3 linked regions of the Sus scrofa genome follow. The protein of the gene in region 1 purifies or fractionates together with the protein of each later gene. This does not show direct contact. Links are inferred from orthologs where the notes say so. Each region holds a gene or a part of one and is shown in the gene's direction. Other genes may lie near its edges.

Region 1 (6,453 bases):
GGGTGGGAAGACGTGTTTTAGAGAATGGTCTTTGGAAGATGGATTAAGGCGTGTTTTCCCCGGAGAAAGCAAGCCCTCCCATTCTCTCTTTTGCCTGAGAGGGAGACATTTTCTTCCCGAATCGATGGGGACTTCGTTTGGTTCTCAGTTAACAATTCATAGTGAGCGGCAGGGAGAGAACAAAGTGCAGACCAGCTGGGCCTGAGACTTCCCCCTGGGGGAAGCAGGAGTGTGCCAGCTTCTATCCTCAGTGGCTGCTGTTATAGCAGGAAACTGCATAGGGCTGGGCAGGGCCTGGGAGGGGCTGCTTCTTGTAAAAGCTTCACCAGCTTTTCAGTAAGTGGGTTACCCGTGACCCACTTCAAGGCCTCAGTTTCTTTCCTTTTCCTTATAATCACAATGGGCATTTATTGACCGCCTCTGGGCAAGGGCACGGCCCCTGGCAGGCGCGCTGCCTGCTCTCTTTGGGAAGAGGAGCCCCAGGCAAGATGAGTGCCCTTTAGATGCAGCCCTGGCCAGAGGGAAGGGAGGGCCTTCCATCTTCCTCTGCTGGGAGCACTACTCCTCTGTCATCACCTTGGGGCTGTCCTCAAATACGCACATCACCTGGGGTGTGTGCAGTTGGTAGTCCTGGTGAATTTATGCTGTGTCTGTGCCTTAGCTTTCCCTTTTCACTTCCTGCCTTTCCCAGGGACTAGGGATGACCTAAACGTCTGGGTCATGGGTCCTTTTTCCACCTGGGGTGAGTGAGTGGCAGTGTTTGCCTCTCCTGGCCAGGTCAGCTCTCTAGAAACTTGCTTCGGAGGACTCTGCCAGGAGTGGTGTCCTCAGCACCTTTGTCACCTGAGGCTCCAGGATGATCCTCCTGTAGGAGACCCTGGCTCCCCAGGATTGTGCAGGGTCCTGTCGTCCTGGGAGGGCTGGGGAGACCAGCACAGGCTTGCTAGCTGGGTGCCCCTCTGAGCCTCAGCTAAGGGGCTTTGGGAACCTCCTCCAAGCAGGGTTGGGGGGGTAAGGAGTTGAGGCTGGTATCCCAGGAATGTTCTCCATTACCTAGCTGCCGCATCCTGAACACTTCAGGCTGTTTACTGCCAGGCTGCCTGGCCTCATGCCGGCCCAGCCACCAAGTGGGCACGGAGGAGAGTGGCTGTTTTTAGATGAAGGTGACTTTACTTGAGAACGTGGGTTACAAGTCACTTGGCCAGAATTGAGTTTTCACTTTTCTGGGGAGGAGGGTCAGGCATCTCCCTGTTCCTGGTGCTCTGGGAGGACAAGCTGCTGCCCATGGCCAGGGGCCTCTAGTTTCTAGGGGTGCTGCTGCCTTGGGCCTCCTGGAGGGTCGGTGTGGCTGAGGTTGTACTTTTCACTCCAAGGAGCATTCTGAGGCATTCTTCCTAATGGTCCTGTCCAGTGGCCTGTTAGTGTCACAGAGTAACATCACCTGTGGCAGCATTTCTGTGGTCACCCTGGGAGGGCCACCGCCACAGTAGCCTACTTGGAGTGACCCGGCCCTGTTTTATGGTTGACTGGGATGTGGCAGATCACAGGGGGCTTCTTGGGCGGACAGGCTGGCAGTGGCCAGATGGGGCACCTGGCTGGTTCCCCAGCTGTCTGTGGACCTTGGGTGAGGGCAGGGGTGTCAGCCATGGGGCAGCCCAGGAGGCCCCTCCTGGGAGGGTTGGGGTTGGTTAGCTCTCAGCCCCTCTCTTAGAGCTAAGGCCTCCCACCTGACTGCCACCTAAAAGTGGCCTGCAGGTACTTCTTTCTCCCCCAGGAGGCCGGGTGGGGCCTGGACAAGACCTGACTAATCTTTCTAGAAGCTCCTGGGTGCCCAGGTCTCCTGGAGAGAGGCAGGTCCCGTCTGGGAGAAGGGCTGCTTCTGGCCTGACTTCCTACCCTGCTCACCAATCCCAGCTCTGCTATAGGAGCTGCTGGTTCTGCAGTCTTGGGAAATCTTGACTGGAGAAGTGCAGGTTGCCAGGGGGCCTTCTTTGGTGAAAGTGGTATAGAGGTGAGCATCCAGCCTCATGCCCTATCTGGCTGTAACTGCTTGGCCTGAGGCTTGAGTTGCCTTTTGGTGGCCCCAGGTGGGCAGATGTGAAGGTCGGCTTGTCCCCAGGACCTTGTGGCCAGTAGCTGTGCTCACCCACACAGCCTGGGAACTCTGAGCACACGTGCCTGTGAGTGTGTGTATGTGTGTATACACAAGTAGCTACAGGTGTGGACCGCTAGGGGCCTCCTTGCTCTCCCCCTGGCACTGCCATCTAGTTTTTTGCTTCCGTCCCTGCTGACCTGGGCCTCTGAGACATCCTGTCTTCTCTTAAAGAAAGACCCAGTGGGTAGCCAGAGGTGGGGCACTGAGGCCTGGCCATGCACACATCCTGTCCATGGGCTGGCCTTGGGTCCCACCTCTACACCAAGAGGCCAGCGTCCCGCAGGCTGGAAATGCACCTGGGGAGCCAGGGCCCTCCTGTGGCCAGTCCATAGTGGGACAGAGTGGAGCATGGTCAGCCCAGCAAGAACCTAACAGGCAGGCCTGGGCAGGACCCATGTCCTCCAGGCCCGGATCTCAGATGCCTGAAGAGGACACAGTGCACTCTGTCTGCAGCCGTTCCAGAAAGTGGCTTGATGGGAAAGTCTGGCTTGGGATCCGGGCTTTCATTTTCCTAGCAGCTAAGGCGTCCCTGTGGACGGAGGGAGCCCAGGCCAGCCCTGCTCATGTGTGAGTGTGAACCTGGTATCCTCTGCAGCCAGGTACCCTCTTCTCTTGCTGTGGGGATATCTTTCCTCGGGACTGAGGTTCGCTGATCTGACTGCCAGGTGGCTAAGGTGACTGTCCAAGTGGGGGTCACGACCTCTGATCATTCCACCCAGTTTCGTGTGTTTTTTCTGTGCTCGCATAGTTACACTGTCAGAAGTCACCATGTAACCCCAGGGAGGAAGCAAGGACCTAGGGAGGGTGGCTTGCCCAGTGGGTGTTAAGAGCTGCTGCCTGGCTGCCGGCCTGTCGTCTGTGTCCCTGTAGCTGCTTTCCCCTCAGTGCCTTCTTACTTGGCTGGGTTGTTCAAGTACAGGCTTGTATTCTGCTCTTTCACCTGACTTTACACCACAGGCTTCTTCCTGGGCTGGCTCTCAGCCCGTGTCCTGTGTCCATGACCTTCTCCAGGGGATGCCTCTGAGATATGTGAGGGTGGGTGGCCTTTCCAGAGGGTCACTTCTGGGTAGGCTAACAATTGCGCTAACACTGCTGTGCCTCAGACCCACCTTTATAAAGTCCCCACCGTCCCCAGGGACAGTGTTGTCTGCTCTGGGACAGGGCTGTAGTGTGGCTACTCCACTGATGGGGGTTGCAGCCCTGCCCGGCAAAAGGGTTCTTGTTCTGATCTGCTCTCCTGATCCCAAACACATGGAGGTCTGGGGTCTCATGCCCCAGGGCCCTCCCTGCAGAGGAATCCTCCCAGCTCAAGCCCAGTCTCTCAGCTCTCATAGCCATGTCTCTTACTGTCTAGTTCTAAGTGTTTTCTATGTTTTGGTTCCTAAAGAAAACATTTTCGAGGACGGGGTGGTTTACCTGCTTAGAAACCAGTGGAAGGGCTGCCGGCTGTTCCAAGGCTCTGGGGGTCACCCCAGCCTCACAGGCAGGAGGAAACAGCACACCTGACCCACCTCAGACGGCCTGCCTTGATCAGGGGAGGGGAGATGCAACGCCACCCAGAGGGGATGGTGACCTGGGCAGCAGTAGACTGACTTTCCAAAGGGGCATTTGGGGTCTGCTGGCGCTGGACCCTGCAGTCACTGTCTTGGTCCTTGTACCCAGACCAGGGTGGGCGCTGCTTCTGTTCCCACACCTAGGCCCAGCCAGTTGAGACCATTCCTCCCAGAATCCTGCCTCTGACCCCGAGGGGAGGTCCTTCCAGGGGCCCCACAGTGCTCAGCTCTGTGAACCAGCCCTGGCTTCTCCCTCTGTGCGGTCGGGGTTGGGACCACTCGGGTTTGCCATGGGGACAAGCAGCCAGTGGCCTGGGTTCTTCCCTTTTCACCTTATCTTTGGCTGCCCAGGGAGCAGGATCTGGACCTCGATAGATGATGTTGGCTCCAAAACACGCCTCACCTGTGCCCTGAATCACAGCGCCACTGAGATCGCGGGCCACCGCTGGGAGAAGGGGGGCAAGGTGCTAAAGGAGGATGCGCTGCCTGACCTGAGGACAGAGTTTGAGTGAGTGAGGCCCTCCCAGCAGGGAAGGGGCTGGGGCCTGATCATGGGGCGGGGTCAGGGCTGCTGGCCCTGCCTGCTCTGACCTCTCCTGGCCGCCAGGCCTTGGCCAGGCTGGAGGTTGTAGTTGTGGCCTGGCTTTGCACACATTAGAAACAGGCTTGGGCTGAGGTCTGGGACCCAGCAAGGGGCAGCTGGCTGCAAGACTTCATCACCTCTCAAACCCATCCCTCCTTCCTGTGAGATGGGGTCTGGGCACTCCAGGGACCAATGTGACACCCAGTTTGGGACGAGGAGTGGCTCCAGAAGCCTAGAACACTGCTATGAGCTTGGAGGGTGGTGGGGCCAGGCTCCCTGATGTGGAGTGATCCTGCCTGCTGCCCCGCACACCCCTGGTCCCTGTTCTCTGGGGCTGCCTGTCCGGTGGAGGTTTCAACAGGCTGCTTCTCTCATACCATGTCTGCTACAGGGTGGACTCAGACGACCGCTCAGGCCAGTACTCCTGCATCTTCCTGCCAGAGCACGCGGGCCGCACAGACCTGGAAGTGAAGGGTGGGCTCCCCTGGGCTCTGCAGGGCAGTGTTGGAGGGGAGGTGGGGTGCGGGAGGGACGCATGCGCAAATCCTAATCCAGATGGGGGCAGGGTGTTTCCACCTCTGTCCTCCACCTGGTTAGGCTCCTGCCTGCTCTCCCTGCAGGGCCACCTAATGTCAAGGCTGTGAAGAAGTCAGAGCACGCTACCGAGGGGGAGACCGTGGTGCTGGCCTGCAAGTCGGACTCCTTCCCGCCAGTCACCGAGTGGCTATGGTACAAGATGAGTGACTCTGGGGACCAGGTGAGGCTTGCACCGGCCAGGGAGGGCTTGAGCCCCGCTGCGGCCCTCCACAACATCTGCCTGCCCCCAGGTCATCGCCAACAGCTCCCAGAACAAGTTCTTCGTGGTCTCCTCGGAGACCAAGACAGAGCTGCACATCCCAGACCTGGACCTGAAGGAGGACCCGGGCAAGTACGCGTGCAATGGCACCAGCTCTGAGGGCACCGGCCAGGCGGTCATCGTGCTGCGTGTGCGCAACCGCTTTGCCGCCCTCTGGCCCTTCCTGGGCATCGTGGCTGAGGTGCTTGTGCTGGTCACCGTCATCTTCATCTATGAGAAGCGGCGGAAGCCGGATGAGGTCCTGGATGGTGAGCTGGCCCTATGTGCCTTCTGCTCCTCTTCTGGGTGGGGACACCATGGGGCTAGGGCGGCGGCCTGGAGTGTGGGGCTGAGGGTCAGCCCCCTCGGCCACTGTCCCGGAGACTCCCGGAGGCCCTGCCCCTTCCCTGGCTGAGGGTCTGTGGCCACACAGCCTCACTTGCCTTCTCTCCTCCCTCCTGGGCTGCCAGTGGGCCTCCTCCATGGTGAGTGCCCTTGTGTGGCTGCTTGGGGTCCAGGGCTGTGGTGCCAAGCAAGCCCAGACCTTGCATGATGGGGCAACTGGGACCGGGGCATCTGCCTGCGGGCTGGGGTTGGGGACACAGACAGCCCTCCCAGGTGCCCTTCATGCTGCTACCCTGGAGAGCTCACTTGAGGGTGCCTGTCACAGGGGTGTGCCGGATCCCCACGTGTTCGATGGGCAGCATAGGGCCTGCTCTGCTAACTCCCCCCTCCTCTTTTGCATGTGCTGCCCCTTGCACAGATGAGGACACCGGCTCTGCTCCACTGTGAGTCTCGGGCTTGTGGAGGTAGGGGGGGCTGGCGGGTGTGCCCCTGGCAGGGCTTGGAGGAGCTTCCCCTGCACACCTGGGGTGTTTCTGGTAGGCGGGGCAGGGGGGAGTTAAGGGTGTCTTGTCCTGACACGCCGTCTTGCATCCCCAGGAAGAGCAGTGGACACCACGTGAATGACAAAGGCAAGAACGTTCGCCAGAGAAATGCCAGCTGAGAGGTGAGTGGCGGGGGGGGGGGCAGGGCGGGGGCAGGGCTTTGGGCTAGGGTCTGAGCACCCTCCTTTCCTGCAGGTGCTGAGCATGAGTCTGCATGGGCACGCCAGCCTGTCTGGAGGAGCCTGGTGTTCCCCTGGTGTTTGCACAACCCCACGTTCCTTCCTCTTAAGGAAACCCGCCCAGCAAAAGCAAACCACCTTGTGTGTTCAAATCACACATCTTCTCTTCTTTTTCACAAAACGAAGCTAGGGTTTTCTATGTGTAGAATCCTGTCCCTCGGGGGTTTTGCTTCCCTTTTTAAACATTTCACAAGCACCTCA
Region 2 (8,339 bases), on another chromosome or scaffold:
TCCCTGCTGGCTCCGTGTGTACCTGTCCACCTCCCTCCCTCTCCCTCTCCCCTCCCCACGCTCTCTCCCTTTATCTCTCCCATCTCTCTCTCCTCCATCTCTTTCTCTCCCTCTTCTGCCTTGCTTTCCTCATAACTCTCCCCAAACCCTATCTCTCTCTCCCCATCCCCCCCCCACCTCTCACATCTCTTTTTTTCCCTTCCTTGGCTCTCTCCCGCCACCTCCATCTATCTTTCTCTTTCAGGACATCTTTGCATCTCTCTGCCTCCTTCCCTCAGCATCACCACCTCCCCAGAAGTCTCACCTTGAAATTGGAGCCCCAACTGCTCCCTCCCCCCTGCACTGGTCTCCCCCCGCTGGTTGGCTGGTTCTGGCCCCTCCCCAAGAGTAAGGGAAGAGGGTCCCTCAGAGAGAGGGGAGATGGTGATGGGCTCAGGGGGATCCACAGAGAGTTCCTAAATCCCTCTACCACCCCCTCCATTTCTCCACCTCAATCAGATCAAAGACAGACTGGGACCCCAGAGCCCTCCTCCTCTGGCTCCCCACCCACCCGGAAGTCCTCCTTGAGGTCTGACCTCAAGCATAGCTGTTGCCCTAATCCACCATAGGCTTTCACATGCCCCAGGGCTGGGATGAACCCCCAGTGTCCGGGTCTGAGCCGGATCTCCCTGCGAGGGCGGGGCTGAGATTGGGGGAAGCCCTCAGGGGACCTGCACCCCCACCCCAGGAGGCTGGAATTTCTCCTCTTTCATTTCCTTATTGTCTCCGAAGGAGGGTGTGACGGGGAGCAGAGGGAGGCAGTGTGAAGCCAGAAGCCTAGTTTCGAATCCCAGTCCTGGCCTAAGACTTCATGTGGGGTCTTGCAGACCCCAGGCTCCAAGATTTTAGGTTTTCCATCTCGAAAATGGGGAAGCAGTTGGACCAGCTGATCTGTGAGAAGCTGACGCCTTAGAGAGAACTTGCCAATTTCCTTCCAGACAGGGAGCCAGCCTGGGGGGTCAACATCACCCTGGGAGGGGGCTGTGGTGGGCGAGAAGCAGGTTGGGGGCCCCCTCAGTTCTCAGTCGCCAGGTGAGTACTTTTCTCCCTGCACTGTTGTGACAGGGGTGGAGGTGGGGGACATGGTTCCTCTGATGGGAAAGCTGAGGAAACCTTCAGACGGTGTATTTCCATTTCCTGCCCCCCATGCGTCAACTCTTCCAAAATATGCCCCCAAGTGCTGACCATCTCTAGACTGTTCCTCCATTTCAGAGACAACTTCCATACAACTTGTCCCCTAAACTTCAGACTGTGCCCCAAATAATGACTCCTTTAGCCCAGACCACCCCCCCAGTTTACTTACTAAGGTATGTCCCCCAAAGATTGATTTGTGGTCGGTACCCTTAAATCATGTCCCCAGACTGTGAACTATCCCGGGTGGGGTGGGGGTTCAGCTGGGATCCCCCACTACCTGGGAGCGTCCACCTCCAACCCGGTCTCTGCCTTCCTCCACATGCAACTGACATCTCCAGCCACCCTGCCTCCACTTCTCAACCTTTCCGATCCCTTCCCTGCCCCACCCCACGTGCACCTCACACCTCCTCAGCCCCAGGTCTGGCCCCTCCTGGGCACCATGCCAAGGTCCGCAGGCCTGGGTAGCCAGGAGTCCCACCCTACAGCTTCAAACCCCAGACCCAGGACTTAGACACGCTGGGGCCCCTGGAAACCCTAGATCTTAGTCTCTTTGGAGACTCAACTATTCAAGTCCCACACCCGACTTTGAGCCTACAGTTTCCTTCCAGGTTAGAAACCCAAGTATCCAGATCCCCATAACCCTCTGACTAGGGCTCCCCCCCTGCCTCACACACACATACATACATCAGGTTGACCAGAGAGAGAGTGAGCTAAGGAGAAGGAGTCCTTGCAGCGAGAGGAATGGGAGTTAGACCGGGGAAGGCTTCGCCATTCCCCGGGGCGAGGAACTTAAGATACACCCCTGCTCCCTACTCCAGGGAAGTCTGGTCAGAGGTGGGACTGGTGAGGACATTAGCAATTAGTGGAGATTGCTGGAAGATGGGGTGGGGGGTGTGAAATCTGAAACCCTCCAGACTCCCAACAAGGAGAATCCCTGCTGAGGGTCTCTAATAACAATTAAACCTCTGAAGTTCAGCTGGGAGGGGTGAGGGTCATGATTAGGGATGGGGGAGTGTTACCCCCCTTTGCCGCCAATGCTCTTGCCACATCCCCTGCTCTCAGGATCCCAACTCTGACCCCTTCTGTCTCTAACTGAGCCCCAGTTCCTAAATCACCTGTTATTTCTCACTCTCCAAACCAAGCTTCATCTCTAAGCATTTTCATCTCTTTATCTGAGCCCCAACTCCTACGTCTCACTTTAAAGCAGATGGCAGCCCCAATCCTTATCCTGGAACCCCAATTCTTATTTCTACCCCAGAACCCCCATTTTTAACATTGAACTTTAACCCTGAGCTCTCAGTTCAGACTTCCCTTAATGGTGACCTCCCTCCACCTCCCATCTCTTAGTCCCTACCTTTTCCCCCAATTCTGGACCCCATTTCCTAATCCCCCAGCTCTGAGTCTTATCTTTGGTTTGTTCACTTTAATTCCTCGGACTTTAGGTCCCTGACACCCAGCTCTCACGTTTAAACTATGACTTGACCCTTGCCTAAATCTTCTTGACTCTCTTTTAAGCCCTCACTCCTACTAGACTGCCTAAGCCGCGCTCTCATGCATTGTCCCCCTTTCTTGACTCCTGCACACCTGGTCTTCGTGTCTCCAGTTCCTCTGCTCCCCAGTTCCAGTCGGGGCCCCCATCTGAGTCCATACCCCAGTCCTTGCCCCCCATTTAGATCCGCACCCTGATTCCTCCCCCCGCCCCCCACTTCCCGCTCCGCCATCCCCGAGGACACACCTCGCCCGCCTCCGGATAGTAGCTCCACTCGGCCAGGTCATGGGCCTCCATCTTCACCGAGCCCAGCATCCCCCGGGCCTGCGCCCCCACCCGCCCCTGCTCCGGCCCCGGGGGGATCGCAGCGGCGCTTCGGATCCCTCAGCCGGCACGGCCCGAGTCCTGACCGGCGCCGGTCCGTCCGACCGCCCAGGGTCCCAGCCGTCCCGGGCGCCGCGGGAGGCGGCCGCGCTTTATAGTCGAGACAACCGCTCCCCCCACCCGCCCTTGCCCGCCCTGGGCTCCCCTCCCGCCTCCCCGAGGGCGGTGTGCCCGTACTGGGGCGCCCCCTGCGGGATTGCGAGGAGACAGACCTCAGGCGCCGGGAGCCGCAGCCCGGGGACGTGAGAGCTGGAGATGGCTGAAGAGCGAGGGAGCTACAGATGGGAGATACTTCTGACAGTAATAACAGCCTCGAGGGCAGAACTCTAGGGCCCCACCCTTCTACCCATCTCGACCGGAGCCAGCGAACAGCCAGAGACCAGCATGTCTGCTGCGAAAGAAAGGGCGCTTAGAGGCGAAGCGGTCTCCAGAGATCCCCATGTGTTCCTCTAAGGACAGTAAGTGATCCTCGAAATCACATTTCTCATTCGACGGACTGGAAGACTGAAGCTACTGATCGCCGGAAATGTTGCAGACCGTGTAAATGGCCAAGACCAAAGGTGGAGGGGATCGGGGCCTCTGCTCATATCTCACTAGGGCAACAGACCACTTCCAACACCTAGGAGCTTCGCTTCCGGGACTCTCCGCTCTCTCTAACAGCAGCCGTCCAGGGACCCAGAACCACTGAGAACTCCATTTCCCAGAAGCCTCTATCTCCCTTTCCGTCCAGCCCCCGTCAAAGGACTATATTTCCCAGAAGGCTTGGCGCCCCAAAGCCGGAAATGAAGGGCGTAGTAGGAAGGCCGCTGGCGCGGCAGAAAGTAGGGGCGGAGTCCGGCCGCAGAGTGGACTCCAATTCCCAGCGACTCTGCGTGCGGGACGCGTGCGCAGTGTCACGGCGGCGAGCGGAAGATGGCGGCGGCGGCGTCTGGGAAGAGGCGCTGCTGAGGGGGCGCGAGGGGGACGGAGGCCCGAGCCGTGGTGAGCGGGGGGTGGCGTGGGGGCCCGGGGACGAAGGGAGAAAGAACGCTGAAAGGGCAGAAGCGCTGTCGGGGGCAATGGGGACGCTGAGAGGAGAGGGAAGCAGTGACTCTCGGGACCGCAGTGTCTTCCCCGGCTCAGGACCCTCCCGTGGCTGCTTAGTGCCCTCAGGGCAAAGTTCCAACGTGGCCCCCAAGGCGCGTACGCCCCGCGGGCCGCGGCTCTGCCTCTTTGCTGGTTCCTCACTTTGCACACCTGCTCTGGCCTCTCGGTTCCGCACACTCGCCGTACGCCTTCCCGCCTCAGGCTTTTTGCACATGCAGTCCCCTCTGTCTCAACATCCCTTTTACTCATTCCGCCAGGCTAACTCCCATTCATCTTTTGGGTCTCCGTACCAACGTCACTTCCTCTACCAAGCCCTCCTTTCCCGCCCTCCGTTCCGCAGTCCGCCTGTTTTATGCTCTCATGGGTCCCTGTTCCTTTCCTTTCAGTCATTTGGGGTCTCGTTTGTTATTGGGCCTTTATTTGTGTGGCTCGTTAGTTCTGTCTGTGACCACGAATTCCACGGGGGCAGGGACTGGGTGTGTGTTGGTCACCGCCGTGTTCCCAGCACAGCACGGTTACGCTAAAAATGCTCAGTTAATGTTCGTTGAATGAATGAAAGATAGTCATGGGACCACTCTGTGTATGAGAGGAGTGGTCATACGCCCGGGTGGGAGTAGGGCAGTGGGACTTCCTACTGGACTCCCTAAGGAATACGCGGGGGAGTTCCTGTTGTGGCTCAGCGGGTTACAAACCCACCTAGTATCCGTGAGGATGCGGGTTCGATCCCTGGGCTCGCCCTGTGGGTTGAGGCAAGCATTGCTGGAAGCTGCAGCATAGATCAGACACAGCTTGGATCCAGCGTTGCTGTGGCTATGGTGTAGGCTGGCAGCTGCAGCTCTGATTTTACCCCTAGCCTGGGAACTTACATTTGCTGCAGGTGCGGCCCTAAAAAGCAAAAAAAAAAAAAAAAAAAAAAAAAAAAAAAGTGCTCCAGAGATCCGGAAGAGGAAGAAATGTTTGTTGGTAGTAGCAAAAGACTACAACCACCGCAGATGTCTTTAGTAGGGAGACTGGCGGGGTTGGGGGGCAGTGAGCAGTCACATAATAAAATATTATGCAACTGTTAAAAATAAATGAGGGGGAGTTATCTTTGTGGCTCAGCGGTTAATGATCGCGACCAGGGTACACGAGGATGCTGGTTTGACCCTAGCCTCGTTCAGTGGATTAAGGATCCAGCGTTGCTGTGAGCTGTGGTGTAGATCGCAGAAATGGCTTGGATCTGGTGTTGCTGTGACTGTGGCATAGGCTGGCAGCTGCAGCTCCAATTCAACCCCTAACCTGGGAATTTCCACATGCAGTGGATGCGTCCCTAAACAGCAAAAAAGAAAAAGAAAACGAAAGAAAGAAAGAAAAAGGAATGAGGGGAGGGAGTTCTGGTTATGGCTCAGCAGGTTAGGACCTGACCTTGACCTTGAGGGTGTAGCTTCCATCCCTGGCCTCGCTCAATGGGTTAAGGATCCCGGGTTAAGGATGTTGGAGTAAGCTGCCGTGGAGGTCGCAGATGCCCCTTGGATCCCTTGGATCCCGTGTTGCCATGGCTGTGGCTCCAATTTGACCTCTGGCCAGAGAACTTCCATATGCAGTGGGTGTAAAAAGAAAAAGAAGAAAAAAAAGAAAGAAAAGGAAATATGTGCATACGTTTTGGGGAAAAAAAAAACAAAAAGTGGAAGAGGAAAGACACGGTAAAAAGTTTGGGTGGATCCATGTAGTCTCATCTTGAAAAGAGTGGAAAGGTTCAAAGTAAAAAGGTTCATTATGTTCTGATGGGGAGCAGCAGATACTGGATTATTGGGTGGCCATACCGTTTGACTTGCATGAACAGACCTGGGGTGGGGAAGCAGTTCTTTTTATAGAAGCAGTCCAGCACAGTGGTGAGAAGGCTAGATTCTGCAGCCACCCCATTAGGTCTGCATCTTACAAGTCGTGAGCCTTTGATCAAGTGACTTTACCTACTTGAATTTCAAATTTCCTCATCTGTAAAATGGAGATTAAAAATAGGGAGTTCCCAGGAGTTACTGTTGTGGCACGGCAGAAAAGAATCCGACTAGGAACCATGAGTTTGTGGGTGCGATCCCTGGCCTTGCTCAGTGGGTTAAGGATCTGGCGTTGCTGTAAGCTGCGGTATAGGTCTCAGATGCAGCTTGGATCTGGTGTTGCTGTGGCTGTGGCCGAGGCCAGCAGCTACAGTTCTGATTAGACCCCAAGCCTGGGAACCTCCATGTGCTGTGGGTGCAGCCCTAAAAAGACAAAATAAATAAACAATTAAAAAATAGTATCTAGGAGTTCCTGTCGTGGCGCAGTGGTTAACGAATCCGACTAGGAACCATGAGGTTGTGGGTTCGGTCCCTGGCCTTGCTCAGTGGGTTAACGATCCGGCGTTGCCGTGAGCTGTGGTGTAGGTTACAGACGTGGCTCGGATCCCACGTTGCTGTGGCTCTGGTGTAGGCCAGTGGCTACAGCTCCGATTCGACCCCTAGCCTGGGAACCTCCATATGCCGCGGGAGCGGCCCAAGAAATAGCAAAAAAAAAAAAGACAAAAAAAAAAAAAATAGTATCTACCTCAGGAGTTCCCATTCTGACTAAGCAGTAATGAACCCGACTGGTATCCATGAGGACTCAGGTTCAATCCCTGTCCCTGTTCAGTGGGTTAAGAAGCTGGTGTTGCTCTGAGCTGTGGTGTAGGTCACAGATGTCGTTCGGATCCCCTGTTGCTGTGGCTGTGGTATAGGCCAGCAGCTACAGCTCCTGCTGGACCCCTAGCCTGGGAACATCTGTATGCCATAGGAGTGGCCCTAAAAAGACCAAAAAAAAAAAAAAAGAGTGCCTACCTCACAGAGTTGGTGTTGTGGGTTTAAATAAATTAATATGTATTAGAATTGTGCCCAGCGCATTTTAAATGTTCAATAAGTATTACCTGTTTTTCTTTCTTTTGTTTTTCCCCACGCATTTTAGAGCCAAAAGGTAGGGATACTAACCAAGCCCAGTGATGGTTGAAGCCCTTTGGCATTTGCTCAGCAGATTTTTCTTGAACACTTACTAGATGCCAAGCAGTGTTCCATGCTGGGGCTAGAGAAAGTGAACACACAACACATACACACAAATCTCTGAGAACCTATAAACATGTTTGTGTTGATGATAATAAATGCCATGGAGAAAAACAAAGTGACACAGATGGAGAGGGAGAGGAAATTGCAGTTTGAAATAGGATGGTCAGAGAAGACCTCACTGCTGGGATATTTGAGTTGAGACCTGAAGGAAATAAGGAGGGAGAGCAGAGAGAAATGAGGGCAGAGATAGGAGGGGCCAGATCACATAAAGTCTAGGCTTTGACTAAGTGAGATGTGGCCGTGATAGGCTGCACGGAGACTGGAAAGGACACTGGTGTGTTCATTCAGCAGATACCTTTTGAATTAACTACTCTGTACAGCATATTGTGTTTCTTTTAAAAGATGCATCTTTTGAAGTTCCCCTTATAGCGCAGAGGAAACGAATCCAACTAGGAACCATGAGGTTTCGGGTTCGATCCTGGGCCTCATTCAGTGGGTTAAGGATCCATCGTAGCTGTGGCTGTGGTGTAGGCTGGCAGCTATAGCTCCAATTCGACCCCTAGCCTGAGAATATCCAAATGCTGCGGGTGTGGCCCTAAAAAGACAAAAGACAAATAAATAAATAGAAAGCATCTTTTTCACCTTCCTCAGATTATTTACTGCTTATGCAGTAGCCTTTAGGTCAATAAAAATAGTAGCTGTACTTATCTCATGTTTACTATGTATACTAACTCCTCCTCAGAATAGTCCTGGGAGGTAAACACTGTTACCATCCCTGTATTACAGAAGAGGCAGCTGACACCCAGTTTTTTGCCTCAGGTTATTCTGGGTTACAGACACAAACTTGGCCAAAGTTGGTTGAATTGTATACATTTTCCTGTGATGTGTCAGGTTGTCATTGTCATCTTTTCCTGATAATACATTGAGATCCATCTTTTTTTTTTTTAACTATTTCCTCCCTTTTCTACTTTCTTTTTTTTTTTTAAATATGTGGATATGTTACCTTCATTTTTTCTTCTTTTTTTTCCTTTTGAGGGCTGCACCCGCAGCATATTCCCAGGCTAGGGGGATTTGGAGCTGTTGCTGCCAGCCTGCGCCACAGCCACAGCAACACCAGATCCAAGCTGTATCTGTGACCAACACCACAGCTCACGGCAATG
Region 3 (7,678 bases), on another chromosome or scaffold:
AGCATAGCAAGTGGAAGTGGTCTCTAGTCCCAACTCCACCATCGCGGATGCCAGTTCACACCTCCACTTTACCTGCAGGTGGGGGTCCCCAGGTAGATTCTGAGTACCTCTCCTGATGTTTTTTTGTTTGTTTGTTTGTTTTTTTAATGATTTTTATTTTTTCCATTATAGTTGGTTTACAGTGTTCTGTCATTTTTCTGCTGTACAGCAATATGGCCCAGTCACACATATTTACATTCTTTTTCTCACATTATCCTCCATCATGCTCCATCATAAGTGACCAGATATAGTTGATTTTTGGTTTTAGGAGGGAGAAATGGACTCTGCCAACAATACTCCCTTGGGTACCTGTTTTCCCATTTTCAGCATCTTTGTCTGAGTGTCTTCCTTAGTTCTAACCCAAATCTCTCCCCGTGCCATTTAACACAGCATTCTTGGGTCCTATGCAGTGGACATGGAGAATAGCTGTTTGCCTTTCTGCTACGCCCCCATCTCCACCAGTGGAGTAGCCCTTCATGGACTAAGCCATTAACTAAGGTGTGAAGAAGTCCTCTGGCATCAGTCTCCCCATTTTTTCCTTGCAACTTCCAGTCATCTGCTTTTCTTGTACCTCCATGCGAAGCTGGGTCAAGTGGCCCATACTCTGATTCTAACCATCCTCAGCAGCTGATGTTTTCTCAAGACAAAGGTTGCCTTACCCCGCCCGTGGGGAGCCCATGGAACAGTAGTACAGCCAACAATGTCCAGTGCCAAAACCAGGGCTGATTTGCTACTGTGTGTCAACAACTTGGTAAATGCCACCTGGCTTTTAGTGACAAGCGTTCTCCCCTCTCCTGAAAGGATAACCCTCCTGGGGCCCAGCAGGAAGGCCTAAATATAATGAAGGCACTGAGAATAGTCTTGCCTAACTCTTTTTCTCTCTGGGAACATGGCTGGATACATGTGCATACTCCCACAGCTTGTATAATCATACATGTGTGTTAGTGGGGCATGTGCTGGTGGTAGTCAAGGGCTGAATTCTGTCTAACTCAGTAGTTTCACCTTTATTGTTTTCTTTTTTCTTTCTTTCTTTCTTTCTTTTTTTTTTTTTTTTTTTTTTTTTGGTCTTTTTTGCCATTTCTTGGGCCGCTCCTGTGGCATATGGAGGTTCCCAGGCTAGGGGTCGAATCGGAGCTGTAGCCACCAGCCTACACCAGTCACAGCAATGCCAGATCTGAGCCGCATCTGTGACCTACACCACAGCTCATGGCAACACCAGATCCTTAACCCACTGAGCAAGGCCAGGGATCGAACCCACAATCTCATGGTTCCTAGTCGGATTCGTTAACCACTGAGCCACAACAGGAACTCCCTATTATTTTCTTTTTATTCAACCTGAATAGTATGCTTCTCTTAGTACTTTGTCTAAGTCGTACTTAGTACATCTCTAAGTACATAGTCTGTATAAGCAGTACTACCTCTTAGTGATGTGTGTGCGTGCTTCTGTGTGTGACAGAAAAGGATGGCCATGTGTGCTTAAAGGAGATGCCCAGAGTTAGAGTCTCGAAGCCTCCGCTTTGTTGATCTCCTAAAGCCACTGGAACTTGGAATCAGGACAATTGGTTGGGCTCTGTCTCTTCACCTCCTAATATGACTTTGAGCAGATAGCTTATTCTTTCTGGCCTTTGCGTATGAGCCAGTGGATGGAAGCCAGCTCTGTTTTTAAATCATGACCAGCACTTACATGTTAATGTGAGAGAAAAGTTCTGTATACGTCCCAGGAGATATTTTAATGTCTGTGTTCCTAGAGCTGAAGCCTAGAGCAAACTCAGTGAGGGGGAGATAAAGTTTTAGGCCTGGGTTCGCTTACCCTAGAGACCAAGAAGAGTGAGTGGCCCCTGTGACCAGCTTGTACTGGTTTCACACCCCACTGAGTCCAGGGCAAATTGAAGTTGTTGGTCACCCTACCTGGATCCTCATACTTGCACAGATCAGGAAGCAAGGGATCTTTTTTTTTTCTTTCTTTCTTTTTAGGGCTGCACCTGCTGCATATGGAGGTTCCCAGGCTAGGGGTCGAATTGCAGCTATTGCTGCTGCCAGCCTACACCCCAGCTCACGGCAACGCCAGATCCTTAACCCACTGAGCAAGGCCAGGGATCGAACCTGCAACCTCATGGTTCCTAATCAATTCATTTCCGCTGTGCCATGACGGGAACTCTAAAAGGGATCTTTTTTAAAGTGATCTTTTAACTACCTTCGTCTGTCATTCATCTTTTTGTCTTTTTTCTTGCTCCTTCACCGCACTTCTATCTCTTTTTCAGGTCTATCTGGGAACCCTGCAGATCTGGAGAAACGTAAACAAGTGTTTGGGCAGAACTTTATTCCCCCCAAAAAGCCCAAGACGTTCTTGGAATTAGTGTGGGAAGCCCTTCAAGATGTCACGCTCATCATCCTGGAGATTGCAGCCATCATCTCCCTGGTCCTGTCCTTCTACCGCCCCCCTGGGGAAGAAAATGAACGTGAGTGTCTTGAAGAGCCTAGCACCACCCTGATCTGGGTCCTTTCCATCACCACCCAAAAGCACCTAGTCTTGGTGTTTCAAATTATAACTTAAAAATTTCCCCCGATTATCCAGAGGGGGTTCTCCAAAGGAAACTTAACAAGTAGCGAGTAAGCTAGTCTTCCAACCCATCCCGATTCCAGGGCCTTTTTCCCCTTCTCCCATCAAATCTTTGTTCGTAATGTCATGAATTTTCAACCCTCACTCGACCAACAAAGCCCCGAGTCTGAAAGTCCACCCTCCCCCCAGGTGTGTGACGTCATGGGAAGCAGCCTTGGGAGCTCCCATGCTGGGGGTCCTAAGTTCTTTATATGTGACTAGCCTGCAATGTGCATGGACATGTCTCATGCTATTTTGTCACGTGCTTCATTGGGGGTGAACATATATAGTTATATTGGTGAGGGGATGGTGACCAATCCTGCTGTCCTCAGCATCCTCAGAGGAAAGCCATTCTACCCAAGAGTTTTCTGTTATTCCCTTTCCCTCACTTTCTATCGGGGCAGGGGGCGGGGGAGGGTTGCAGAAGCACAAGCCTCCTTCTTAATGTCAGCAAAAGCCCGTGGTGACCCTTCCTCTCTCTCCTTTCCCTGGGCTAGAGTGTGGTCTACCCGTAAGTAGCCCAGAAGACGAAGGAGAGGCAGAAGCCGGCTGGATTGAGGGGGCAGCCATCCTATTCTCAGTGATCATCGTGGTGCTAGTGACTGCCTTCAATGATTGGAGCAAAGAGAAACAGTTCCGGGGGCTGCAGAACCGCATTGAAAAGGAACAGAAATTCTCCGTTATCCGAAATGGTCACATCATCCAGCTCCCTGTGGCCGAGATCGTGGTGGGTGATATTGCCCAAATCAAATACGGTGAGACCGCTGTTTCTTGTCCCTGTGCCACCCTCCCTATTTGAGGTTTAGGGCCTTTGCCAGTGTGGGGGAGCTGGGAATTGCCGAGGACCCAAAAAGACCCAACGTTGTGTTAGTTTTTAGGTTAGAGTTTGAGGAGGTTGTGGGAAAGAAGTTCAAAGAAAGCAGTAAATAAACCTCTCCCCAAAGATTTAACCTTGTGTGTCTTAGGTTAAAACTATGTAATACTCAGGGAGTTCCCTGTGGCTCACTAGTATCCCTGAGGGTGTGGGTTTGATCCCTGGCCTTACTCAGCAGGTTAAGGATCTAGTGTTGCCATGAGCTGTGGTATAGGTCGCAGATGTGGCTCAGATCTGGCATTGCTATGGCTGTGGTGTAGGCTGGCAACTATGGCTCGGATTTGACCTCTAGCCTGGGAACTTCTATATGCCTCAAGTGTGGCCCTAAAAAATTAAAAAAATTAAAAGTATGTAATATTCAGGCTATGGAAGGTAACTGTTTGAATACATAATACCTGAAGAAGAATGTTATCCCAGATTGTCAGAGCTGAAGTTGTCTTTCAAAGGCTCTGCAGATACTTTGTGGGCCATTGCCCTATAGGTGGGGCCTATGGGAGCAGCCCTGAGATGGGGTTAGATGGTCCTCACCCTCCAGCAGGTTCTAACCTACCCTCTTGCCCTGTTGCTCCTTCCCTTCTGTGTACTAGGTGACCTGCTGCCCGCAGATGGGATCCTGATCCAGGGGAATGATCTCAAGATTGATGAGAGCTCTCTGACTGGTGAATCAGACCATGTCAAGAAATCCTTGGAAAGAGACCCCATGTTGCTCTCAGGTATGGCCCCTGGCTATGCCAGTTCCCATTCTGCCTCCCCCAGACAGACACAGAGATCATATCCAGACCTCGTTCTCTCCTGGCCCTGCCCAATCTCCTGCCCCAAGTTCAATGGGGAAAGCAGCATATTAGTAGGTTGACTATAAGGATATCAGGCAACCTCAAAGAGGTTGTCTGCGAAGCCAGTGCTTTAGGGTCTGGGAAGGGCCCTGCTGGCCAGGCTTGGATGGTGGGAAAAGGAGCCTTACCCTAAAGCAGTTAGACACATTGCTCTCCTCCCCCCTTTTGCTTGCTCTCAAGTTCATGTTTCACACTAAAGTTTGGCTGGGTATAAAAGCCACTTATTGGGAGTTCCCTGGTGGCACAGTGGGTTAAGGATCTGGCGTTGTGATTGGCATGGATTCTATCCCTGCCCTGGGAACTGCTCTATGCTGCAGGTGCAGCCAAAAAAAAAAAAAAAAAAAGACCAACAGTTCTCCCATCTTCTTTCTCATATAGGGACCCATGTCATGGAAGGTTCTGGCCGAATGGTAGTGACTGCTGTGGGTATCAACTCTCAGACTGGAATCATCTTTACCCTCTTGGGGGCCAGTGAAGGGGAAGAAGGGGAGAAGAAGAAGAAAGGTAAAGGGGCTTTCGGGATGAGCATCCCTTTCCTCGCTCCCATCCGCATGGACAAACTAGGGAAGGGAGCAGATGTGGTTGGAGAGGACCTGGGTGGAAGAATCCGCTGGATGACGAGGGCTTGTATCCAAACCCCTTGCCAAGATAAGCTGTGCTCCCCACAGTGCGCTCCTAAAAATCAGATCCTGGCTCTAGGCTCCCAAACCAGGTTGCCTTTGAGCCTCGATTCCTGCATCTGTTGGTGGATTGTAAAGGAATGAGGTGGAGGGCCTGCCCCAAATGAGCTGGTGAGGGGTTCTGGCCCCAGACCCCCTCTGTGGAGTCCTCCGACCCTTCCCCCTTTCTTCCTCAGACATGGAGGATTATAAGCACCATCGAGGCTAAGGGAAAACTATCCGGGAGAAGAAACTGCTGAAACTACAGGCTGTTGGTGGAAGGGAGACGTGGCCAGGAGAGTGGGAATAGAGAGGGAATGTCCATCCAGGAGTTAGCTTTGTCTTTACCGTTCACTTGTTCCTGAAAGAAAAACAGAAGGCAAAAAAGATGCTAAAGCAAATCTACCCCTTTCCCTAAGCATTCCTCTTCCCTTGGCTCGTGGTCCATCTTGGGCAGTTGAGTGGAGGACAGTTAAGGAAAAGGAAACGAAACACATCTGCTCAGGAACTAGACTATTTCTGCAGCTGCTTGCAAGGGAGTCGGGAGGAGGCTTGCCTGGTGCTGGCGAAATGACATGGAGGCACCTTTCAGGGCCTTTGCCATCAGCCAGAAAAAGTCCAAACCTCTCACTTCCTAACCCCCACTGCCGTTCTCCAAGTGATGTGACGCAGGCCAGGAGAAAAGTGATATGACTCAGGCCAGCCGTGCTCCAGGAGAAGGCAGCTCGGAAGTGGGTGTGCGTGCTTGTGGATGAGTGGTCTGGTCCAGATCTCGAGGAGGAGCCCCTTATAGATGTAAACGGAGATGCCAGCTTCCACTGCAGTCCCTGCCCTGCAACTCAGCCCCTTTGCTGTCGCCCGTTTGGGCTCTGAGCAGGACCAGTCAGATTAAGAGATCTGACTGTCTGATCTCTTAATAGTCACTTTGGGTCTCCACCCCACTTTTTTCTTTCTTGTTCAAACAGGTAAAAAACAAGGAGCCCCTGAAAATCGCAACAAAGGTAACCTCTCCACCCACTCATTTACCATTTCTACCTGCCACACTCAAACCAGACCTTTCCAGGCCATCTGCCTTCTCCCTTTTCCTCTCCATAAATCTGTTATCTGCTGCTGTGGCCGGGATCCCTTATCCCGAGGAAGGTGCAGAGATTTGGGGATGGTCGCAAGCTCCCAAACCCAATCGAAGCTGGGACAACAGCACCCTCTGCTGTTGGCTCAAGGAACCTCATGTCAAAGTTTCTCTTGGGGGAGCAAATCTGCTCTTCCCAGGGTACTGAGCTCTTTGCCTCATTGCCCCATACCGGATTTAAACACCACAAGGCATCAATTTCTGGGTTGGAAGGCTTCAGGGTGCATATGGTGGAGGGAGTTGGGATGGGCAGTCCCTGCACCCTCCTCTTGCCAGCTTCCTCATCGGTGTCCTCTTCCGGTCTGGATTCCTTCTCTGCTCGTCTTCTCCAGGGTGGACAGAGCCCTTTCTACGTAACCTCTTTCCCCACCTCTTTCCTTGTTCTCTCCACAGTCTGTTTTCTTCCTCCTAATCTGATGTGTGTTTCTTTTTTGGTGGCCGTGTTTACATCCTGTCTCTGTCTTGTTTGTGAGTGTGACAACAGAGACAATAATATCTCAGGAAGGGCATCTAACCAAAGGGGTCAAGCTCTGCAGGGGTGAAGTTGGAGGGCTGTTGGAAACCAACAAGAACCACTCTCTTGAGACAGCGCCTAGAGATTTTTTTCCTTTTGTAACCCACGTCATGGTAGTCTTCAGAATAAAGTCATCACTTCGGCGAACCCAGGGCTCCACAGAAATAATTCTTTAATTTTAGATTCCTTGAACTCTTCTTTTTAAAGCAAAATGGATTTATGTCTGTCTTTATTCCTGCTTTCTCTTATTCCAGGGAGTCCCTCACACCAGCTTCTTCCCTTTCCCCCAGGTCCCACTCTGTATCCCCCTGCCTTCGTCAGACAGGGGAGATTTCCTTCCCCTGTCGTTCAGTTAACACAAGGGGGAGCTGGGAGATAGCCTGTGTTCTGTGTTTCTTCCATGACAGTCTAGAGAGAGAGAGATGCACCTTTTAAAGAGCTGACTAGGACCCCGATGCTCTGGAAACATCTACAGCGTCCCCCTTCAGCCCCTTTCTGAAGTAAAGACTCATTATTTTAAGCACTGAATTCCAGGAAGGATGGTTGTTGGTAACAGCACTTAGTGGCATGACTAATCCTCTTGCTGGAACAACGAACCTGGCCTGGGGCTCTGACGTAGTGCCAAGAAGCTGCCACTGAAGAGGAAATCCATGCCCCAAAAGTATCCATTTCACCTCTAGTTGTTCAGATATCATTCCCAAGGCCCTTATAGATGGTCGAAAGGCAAGTTCCCTGTCTGGCATGGAGTGAGGGTGGTCAGACCTGAAGTCAAGGCTCCAAGGTATATTCCAGGAATAAGACGGAGGGTTTGTTAGTTTCCACCTACCTGCTACGCAGTGCTACTACCTGGCCTACTCACCTGTTCTGTTTGTGTGTACACCCTAGCAAAGACTCAGGATGGAGTGGCCTTGGAAATTCAGCCACTCAACAGCCAGGAGGGAATCGACAATGAGGAAAAGGAGAAAAAGGCTGCCAAGCTGCCCAAAAAGGAGAAGTCGGTGCTGCAAGGCAAGCTGACGCGCTTGGCTGTT

Evidence for each region.
Region 2: the proteins of BSG (region 1) and SYMPK purify together in Homo sapiens (co-immunoprecipitation; 3 studies listed by BioGRID and IntAct, counting the BioPlex papers as one, with this or other methods). This does not show direct contact. The link is inferred for Sus scrofa from reciprocal best matches to the Homo sapiens genes BSG and SYMPK.
Region 3: the proteins of BSG (region 1) and ATP2B4 purify together in Homo sapiens (affinity purification with mass spectrometry; 3 studies listed by BioGRID and IntAct, counting the BioPlex papers as one, with this or other methods). This does not show direct contact. The link is inferred for Sus scrofa from reciprocal best matches to the Homo sapiens genes BSG and ATP2B4.

The regions. Positions count from the first base shown.
Region 1 is NC_010444.4:77,736,110-77,742,562, reverse strand, and holds the end of BSG (basigin precursor), read left to right. Parts: intron 1-4,059; coding exon 4,060-4,216; intron 4,217-4,682; coding exon 4,683-4,765; intron 4,766-4,911; coding exon 4,912-5,048; intron 5,049-5,118; coding exon 5,119-5,395; exon of another isoform or gene 5,396-5,596; coding exon of another isoform or gene 5,597-5,611; exon of another isoform or gene 5,612-5,889; coding exon 5,890-5,914; intron 5,915-6,068; coding exon 6,069-6,132; 3' UTR 6,133-6,135; intron 6,136-6,208; 3' UTR 6,209-6,279; downstream 6,280-6,453.
Region 2 is NC_010448.4:52,175,888-52,184,226, reverse strand, and holds the start of SYMPK (symplekin), read left to right. Parts: upstream 1-3,844; 5' UTR 3,845-4,027; intron 4,028-8,339. Other genes in the region: FOXA3 (hepatocyte nuclear factor 3-gamma), read right to left, coding at 2,909-2,977. UniProt on the Homo sapiens protein: Scaffold protein that functions as a component of a multimolecular complex involved in histone mRNA 3'-end processing. Specific component of the tight junction (TJ) plaque, but might not be an exclusively junctional component. May have a house-keeping rule.
Region 3 is NC_010451.4:64,400,032-64,407,709, forward strand, and holds part of ATP2B4 (plasma membrane calcium-transporting ATPase 4), read left to right. Parts: intron 1-2,300; coding exon 2,301-2,498; intron 2,499-3,135; coding exon 3,136-3,393; intron 3,394-4,099; coding exon 4,100-4,225; intron 4,226-4,723; coding exon 4,724-4,849; intron 4,850-5,969; coding exon 5,970-6,005; intron 6,006-7,532; coding exon 7,533-7,678. UniProt on the Homo sapiens protein: Calcium/calmodulin-regulated and magnesium-dependent enzyme that catalyzes the hydrolysis of ATP coupled with the transport of calcium out of the cell. By regulating sperm cell calcium homeostasis, may play a role in sperm motility.